2 linked regions of the Ovis aries genome follow. Each later gene encodes a partner of the first gene's protein in a complex. Links are inferred from orthologs where the notes say so. Each region holds a gene or a part of one and is shown in the gene's direction. Other genes may lie near its edges. The genes, in order: RAF1 and RAP1A.

Region 1 (4,351 bases):
ACGGCCCTAGCTAGGGCTTGCAGGCTTCACTAGCTGCAGTACATGGCGCAGTAGTTGCGGATCCTGGGTTCTAGGGCACAGGCTCAGCAGTTAAGGCACATGAGCTTAGCTGCTCCTCGGCATGTGGGATCTTCCCGGATCAGGAATGGAACCCCTGTCTCTTGTATTGGCAGGTGGATTCTTTTCCACTGAGCCACCGAGGAAGCCGAGTCCTACACATAGTGTTGCTTCATCTTCATTTCCCTTTATACTGTACATAGGACTGACTATATTTTCTTTGGCTTTCTCTTTACAAGACAGAGCTTTTGATTATTGCTGACTTCCCAATACGGAGAATAACATCAGGCTTTCAATAAAAATTTAAATTAAAAAATGTACATGGTGTTGGGTAGCATTGTGTGCCCCTGTGAGAATGAACAGTCATTCTGTACATGTTCTACTTTTTAAAATGTAATGTCTTCGATGAAAAAAAAAAATCAGTATATAGAACTAGCTGATTCTTTTTAACAAATGGATATCATGGACTGTGGAGATAGCACCCTTTATTTGAGCAGTTTCCTTTTTAACTAAGTAACATTTTTTTCCAGTGTCATCTCTAAGGCAAACAGCATGGCAATGAACATTTTAGCGAGTGCCTTTTTGTGCTCTAGAATTAGTGTCCAGAGCGGACCTGCTGGGGCGATGGGTATATGCATTAAAATATCCATTTGTTGTTGCTGTTTAGTAGCTACACTGTGTCTCTTTTGCAACTCTATGGACTGTAGCCGCCAGGCTCCTCTGTCCATGGGGTTTCCCAAGCAAGAATACTGGAGTGGGTAGCCGTTCCCTTCTTCAGCGGTCTTTCAGACTCAGGGATCCAACCTGGGTCTCCTGCAGGCAGACTCTTTCCCGTCTGAGCCAGCAAGGAACTGAGACTCAGAAGTTTACTGACTTTCCCACATGATGGGTAAACGACAGAGTCGCGATGTGTCTCCTGATGCGTCGGACTCCAGGGAGAACACGCCAAAGCTGGACACTGTTCTCTACACTGAGTCCTCGGGCTCATTTGGTTATCTCTGGACCTTGAGATATCACCAGGCTGGCCTTCTTCTCCCTTTTAAGTCTCAGACTCCTTCGGGGCAGCTAAACTCTGACCCTCCTCGACCGCCACTCCGTTGGCCGATCAGCACCCGCCCTAGAGCCTTTACGGCTCGGAAATGGCGATCAGCGCGATCTCTAGGCCACGCCCACTGGGAGGTGGGACCAGAGTTCAGGCCAGAGCGATGGATGCCCGAGCCAAGTTTGAAGTCGGCTCCTAGGCGGGCTCGCGCAGAAGCAGAGCTGGTGGCGGCGCAGGTCGGGAGGAGGAGCACCGAATGTAGGGCTCGCCTGCCGGGGCCGCCCGAGAGTCTCTCAAGTGCGGGCGCTGGGGCCGCCATCTTAGATGGCGGGATTAAGGCGAGAACGAGAGTGAGACGGGAAGGCTTTCCTGCCGCTCTTGGGCCCCGGAGAGGGACAGGTGGCCGGGCTTTGGGGTGTGTGCCCTGAGGCCGCGGAGCGCGAGTGGGACAATGCGAGAGCTGCCCGGGGCCCCGTCCCCTGGGCTGGGGACGCGCCGAATGTGATCGCCTCCCGCTCCCTCACCCGCCGCGGGGAGGAGGAGCGGACCAGACGCCGCCGCCGGACGACTGGACGCGGAGGCGGCCGGGCTCCCTCAGGTAGGCTGCAGGGCCGGGCCGTGGGAGCGGGGCGGCGGGGCTGAGTGGGCCGGGTTCCCGGGCGGCCCGGCTAGGGCGTCGCTGACGGAACGGCCCCGCGGCGGTCGGGCGGAGGGCCGGGCCAGGCCGCTGTCACCCCGGGTGGCGCTGGGCGGGCGGGGGCCCCGGGGCTCGGTGTCATGGCCGGCGAGCCGAGTCCCCACATTCCCCACTCAGGATTTCCTTGTGTTTCGGGGAGACGTGCGGGCGCCACCCGAGTTCCCGCTGCACAGTCCTTGTGTTTCGGCCACGGGAAAATCCGCCCAGAGACGCCTCGAATCCGTGTTGTCACTGAGGTGGACCACCGTCGTTTCTTTCTGGCCGCAGAGTGGGGGGACCCGGGCTTGCATCTTCTCTCAAGTGACACCCTTTTCGGGAAGGTGAGAGCGGTCGGGGACAAGAGGAGGAAGTAGGTCGGTGTCCCACCACAAAGGACGGGATCGGGGCCTCCCCTTGGGGCTCAGGACTCTGCGCGTTACTGATGATACCGTTGGGATGCTTATACTGACGGTCGGCCCCAGGATGCTTGGGAATAAAGATCCAGGGCTCCTTTGTGTGAAGTGAGAGCCGCCTGGACGCTTCGGCTGTGCAGCTGCAGAGGCTCTGCAGAGCTAGTCGATGCCCCGAGAGAGGCGTTTGGACGTGAGGAGAGGCGAGGCGGCTGTGTTCATTCATTGTTCTCTCTCAGGGGGCCAGGGTGTGCCCCTTTCTCTGGTGGGAGGAAGGTTAGGGTCTGCTGTGCCTCCTCTAGGTGTGACGGGGTTCTGAAAAGTCGTAAGGAGGGAATGGATTCAGCCCGCGTTCATTATTTCTGCCTGCTTCGTCCGCTCGGGTCTGAGTGGAGGTAGGCGGCCCCTCTGTTCGCTCCCAAATGTGAAAACAAGACGCTGTGATTAGGATGGGTTTACCCAGGGTCGTGCTAGTTTGGTACGACTCATTTTGCTTGGGGGAGTTGAGGGAGCATGTAGACTGGAGGGGGATTTTCGTGCTGAGCAAATGCTCTTCAGGTGGGGAGGGCGGAGCAGGCTAAGCTGAGGAAACAGCTGGTACAGAGGCCCCGAGATGTGCAGGAGTTGGAATGAATTTGGGGAGCAGCAAGCCGTCTGGGGTGCAGGAAGGAAGTGGTGAGAGATGAGGGTCTGAAACAAAGGTTGCCTAGCTTGCGAAGGATCTTTCTTTGTTGAAGATCGTGAGCTAGTTGGTTTAATTGGAGTTATTTTAGACGAATGTTGCTAATTTTCTTGCTGATAATCGATTTTCCCCCTTCTCTTGATGATGTTAAAGCTGTTAGTAATTGCACAGATTTACTTTGTTAAGCTCCGTCAAGAACATTTTGATAAATGCTTTACGTCAAATATTTTGCTCTTGCACTGTGGTGAATGAACAGAATTCATATTTCTCGGGATTCTTGCAAAAGGTTCTTCTGAAGTTGTGCTTGGTCACAAAAGTGTTGTCTTTATAAATGTAAGGCAGTCTACTATAACCGCATTTTAAATGGTTGTTGACAACATAAATTGTGCTCCCCAGTTGCTTAGAAATTGGCAGATTATATGAAACAATCTGAAAAATTGTAGAATGCAACTATTTCTAGTTTAGTAGATGTTTTATATAGTAAACTGTTCGGATTGATTCTGTGGATTCCAGTTCTGTTTTAAAGTCTTTAGCTCTATGAACATAATTTTCCCCAAAGAGCTGTATTGTTGTGCTTAATGTTTGTGCTAAAGTGACTATTATGATATTAACAGACTTCATCTAGAAGTTCCTGAATCTTTTTTGGGTTGTGATGATTATATACCACTCCAGAACATTAAGATTAAAATTCTTTTGGTTTGTTTTCACCCTTATCACTTTAAGGGCTTGCTGTTTAAAATGCAACAGAAACATTTGACCCAGTTGAACACAGGATACTTGGGAAAATTAACCTGTTACTCTTTCTGTGTAAAAGCTTATTATCTTTTAGATATGCAGTGTTTGTGATTATAAGTTGTAGTGAAATTGCTTAGTTTTCTAAAATTCTTATTTAACAACAATTAAAAGATGTGTATGCCTTCAAAGGAGAAGGCTTGAGTGAAGTACAGGAGAACATATTTTATAGGTTTTGGTTTTGCAGGAGAAAACAGTGAGAAGCAGATTAAGCTGGTCACTTACGATGAAAAGTATCTAAAAGATCAAATGGAGAATGGTTAAACATTAAGTATTATATTTTAACTGCTCTGAGACTAGTTGGTTTTAGTTTAAAACAGGCCACTTGTGAAATCCAAAGTAGAAGTTTGCTCTGAGGATTAAACAGCAACTTCTTGGAAGTTAAATCTGACTTCTCCAGAAGCACTAGGTTACTTATTAAATGGAAAATATAATTAATAACTTCAAATTACTATTTCAAGTAACCTGTTTGTAGTAGGTGCATGATTCTATCACATTTTAATTCCAGATAAAGCTTTGTTAATAACCTGTTGCCTAAAAATAGAAAAATGTTACATGGGGAGTGCTTTTGTTTGCATGTTAACATAATAGCCCATACATCATAATCCTGGTCTTGGGAGGAGCTTGTTAGATGAACAGCATGCCTTAATGTTGACTTGCAGAAGAGAATTTTAACTAGTGCCTTTGAAAGG
Region 2 (3,814 bases), on another chromosome or scaffold:
GCCCTGGGAAAATAGAATTTAGTACATGAAATTTCACCTTATGCACACAGCTTTTCCAAAGAAGTACCTTTTTGTTAAAGTCTTGAGAACTGTATGAGTTCAGTGTTATTGTGTTCCCTTTATCTCTTCAATTTAAATTTTACTCTGTATTAAATTTGGGGCACATTTTAGTAAAACTTTGACGACTTGAATGTGAAAAGTGGTCAGTTTTCTTTACTCCCAAATCTTGGCTATATTTTGAGCTACTTGGTACTTTTGCGCCTTATTTTGAAGACAATATAAATATACACACTTTATGCTGGTTTTTTTTCCTTTTAGAACTATACCTGTTTATTGCTGTTTTTCTTAAATTGCAGAATATAACCACTGCCTTCTAATAATAACAGAAATCAATGCTCATATTTCAGGGTGGTCAGAAAAATATCTAAACTGAGCATTAACAGTCCTGGTAGAATGTGTTTGAGACCTCCTATTCTTTATTATACTATCAAGTTAGGTCTCCACCAATATAGCAAACTGCTGGAGAAAGGCTTCCAGTTGTTAATAGGAACTTTGAGTGAAGAGGTGGGAGGAAAACAGACTGACATTTTGATGTTACTTTTTTATTCTCCTCCACCCCCAACCCTGACCCCAACAGCAAGTTGAAGTAGACTGCCAACAGTGTATGCTCGAAATCCTGGATACAGCAGGAACAGTAAGGATGTTTCTTTCTCTCTCTCTTCCTTTTTCTTGTTAGATTTTAATTTGTAAACAGGTTTTTGTCACCTGATTGATTCCTCTGAGTAAAAACTATTGTTCTGATTAAGAACTTAAGTCTCTAAATGTAAAACTTCTTAAATTTTCTTACGTGCATTAAATGTACTTAATGCCCACATATCACTATTAAATTGTATGTTGAGTTCACCTACAGAATCTGTGTGTTGAGTTTCTTTTTTCCTGTATTGAGGTGAGGGTTATGCTATTACTGCTCTTTAAAAAAAAAAAAGATATTTAAGGTATTTTAAATCCAGAATTTTAGTTAAAATAGGTATTTCTCTGGGCTTAAATAATACTGTCTCTTGATACCATGGTAATTCATTTATTTTAAAAATTGTTTTTGCTTTTTATTAACATTATAACATCTCAAGGGACTAGTGATATAGAAGTGTTTTCTGACAAAAATCTTTAGGATTATTTCGAGCCTCATTTTTCATATCTTTAAATGAGTATAATGATGATAGTACATTATAGGGTGCTTGTAATGATCAAATGGGGCTTCCCTGGTGATTCAGTGGTATAGAATGCACCTGCCAGTGCAGGAGACTCGGGTTTAGTTCCTGGGTCAGGAAGATCCCCTGAAGAACTAAACGGCAACCCACTCCAGTATTCTTGGCTGGGAAATCCTATGGACAGAGGAGCCTGGTGGGCTGCAGTCCGTGGGGTTGCAGAAGAGTTGGACGTGACTTAGCAGCTAAACAACAACATTGATCAAATGAGATGGTGACTATAAATCATTTGGCACAAAATACCTATAATATAGTTAATGAACTCTATGTATTTGCTTTTATTTTCATTATCTTCACTTGTCATTACCTTTTTAAGTTTTTTTATTGATTAATGATGTTTTATTCTGCCACAAAAAAATGCACACATTAAATGATTTTCTTTTTTTTTCTCCATATGTATAGACTTTTCCTATTAGGCAGTGCTCTAAAATGAATGGCATTCTTAAATGTTTTAAGTTGTTTTAAAATTCACAAATATCCCCCATTATAATTTTATAAATGGTGAGAAAGTTTCAGATCAAAAAACATGAGAAGACTGGAGCAATTAGAGTACAAATTATACCATATTTTTGTATCCTTTTGTGGGAAAATGGATCTTAATTCCAACAGTAGCCTTGTATCAGCTGAATTGAGGTCTCTCCCTCTTTCCACTTTCCCCAGCCCCCAATTTTCCTAGCTTCTGAATCAGCAATAATTCTCCTTTGTTTCCAAAGACCCCAACAGTTAAAAAACTTAAAAAAAAAAAACAAAAAAAACTTTTTACTTCTTCCTTTCATACTTCCACAACTGTGAGGACATTCTTCTTCCTCATGTCCAAATTAAAGAAGTTTTCCTCCACTGCAGAGATCCTCCCTTATTTTCTCAAATATCTTGTATTTCTCCCATCCTAGCAGTCAGCATGCTGTTATAATTTTCTGTATATTTGTCTATCCCCAGTGCCTTGCATAAAGGTTGGAAAGTAGTTGATGCTCATTAGTCTTATTCTAGATCAATTCTTTCTCCTTTAGGGTTGCTCACTTTCTCCAACACTGCTTTAGTCCAAAGTGTTGGTGATTTTGGTATCCAAATAGAATCTTTATGGGTAATATAGATGATTTAGTAGCTTGGCTTGTCAGTTTCTTGACCTCCACTCTGCTTCATTCATTCATTCCCATGTCTTTACTCTAGACTGTATGATAACCAATAACATAATACCATCCTAAATTTCATTTTCAAGTGTCTTACTCTTCACTCACCATCTTGTTTCTCCAGCTCACTTCCTTTCAAACCCTTCAACTTCTCTGGGACCTGCAGTCTGTTTATTCTAACATCTTTGATTATCCCTCATATCTTCAAGCCCCTCTTTTCGTAGCTCCAAGCACATGATCTGTCATTCAGAATACATCCCTCACATGTATCCTCAGTTCCCTTGACTTTTTCAGCAAGCTTTGATTCAGTAGAGCATTATCCTCCTCTGTGAAAATTTTATTCATGTGACTTCCAGGAAACAATGCTTGCCTGGTTTTCTCCTTGTATCATTCATTGTTTCTAAGTCCTGTCCTGATTTGGCTTCATCTCCCCAACCTGTTAATGTTGGAGGGCATCAGGGTTTACTCCTTGAACTTTTCTGAAAACACTACCTTGGAGATCATCTTTTGTAGCACCAAAATAATTTAATTAAAATCTAGATATATAAAAGAATTATATACAGTTTTTCTAAATCACACAAAGCCAAATTAAAGTGAGGACTTCCCTGGTGGTCCAGTGGCTAAGACTCCACCCTCCTACTGCAGGGAGCATGGGTTTAATCCCTGGTCAGGGAACTAAGACCTGCATGCTACAGTAGCCCAGCCAAAAAAAAAAAGAAAAGTGGTTAATATTTCCCTTGTAATTCTTACAGTTTGTTGTTTTTAGTCAGGTAAATAGGAGACAGGAACATTCATCTCAGATTTTCCAGAAGCTGTGTATCATGTCTTTAGGTTTCCTGTCACTATAACATGTAATAAAGAATTCAGTAGCTAACTTGTTATTATTCTGTTTTAAATTTTTTCCATTTTAATGTTTCAATTCAGTACATTTAAGGAGGAGTCATATTTATAATTTATTGCATGTTTTTATTATAGGAGCAATTTACAGCAATGAGGGATTTGTATATGAAGAATGGCCAAGGGTTTGCACTAGTATATTCTATTACCGCTCAGTCCACGTTTAATGACTTACAAGACCTGAGGGAACAGATTTTGCGAGTTAAGGACACAGAAGATGTAAGTATTTCTCTGTATATATAGCGTATTGCCATGTCTCTGTGGCCAAATATAAAATATCCATTTTCTCTATCAATAGGAACTCGGAGGGTATCTACCTTGTGCCTAAAAGAGGCCTGGTAACCAAAAACAATTTTAAGCTTTCTAAATTTACCCACAGATAATATACTGAGAGGACATCCCAGGTGGCTCAGTGGTAAAGAGTCCACTTGCCAAGCAGGAGACACGGGCTCAGTCCCTGGGTCAGGAAGAGCCCCTGGAGAAGGAAATGGCAAACCACTCCAGTATTCTTGCCTAGAAAATTGC

What was found.
Region 2: the proteins of RAF1 (region 1) and RAP1A are in contact, whole or in part, in a crystal structure (PDB 3KUC), measured with the Homo sapiens proteins. The link is inferred for Ovis aries from reciprocal best matches to the Homo sapiens genes RAF1 and RAP1A. Residues at the interface, in NP_001341619.1 of Homo sapiens: Thr57, Arg59, Asn64, Lys65, Gln66, Arg67, Thr68, Val69, Val70, Lys84, Lys87, Val88, Arg89, Gly90; in NP_001010935.1 of Homo sapiens: Val21, Gln25, Ile27, Val29, Asp33, Pro34, Ile36, Glu37, Asp38, Ser39, Tyr40, Arg41.

What each region holds. Positions count from the first base shown.
Region 1 is NC_056072.1:56,409,640-56,413,990, forward strand, and holds the start of RAF1 (RAF proto-oncogene serine/threonine-protein kinase), read left to right. Parts: upstream 1-1,394; 5' UTR 1,395-1,697; intron 1,698-1,863; exon of another isoform or gene 1,864-2,116; intron 2,117-4,351. UniProt on the Homo sapiens protein: Serine/threonine-protein kinase that acts as a regulatory link between the membrane-associated Ras GTPases and the MAPK/ERK cascade, and this critical regulatory link functions as a switch determining cell fate decisions including proliferation, differentiation, apoptosis, survival and oncogenic transformation.
Region 2 is NC_056054.1:89,123,098-89,126,911, forward strand, and holds part of RAP1A (ras-related protein Rap-1A), read left to right. Parts: intron 1-637; coding exon 638-694; intron 695-3,367; coding exon 3,368-3,508; intron 3,509-3,814. UniProt on the Homo sapiens protein: Counteracts the mitogenic function of Ras, at least partly because it can interact with Ras GAPs and RAF in a competitive manner. Together with ITGB1BP1, regulates KRIT1 localization to microtubules and membranes.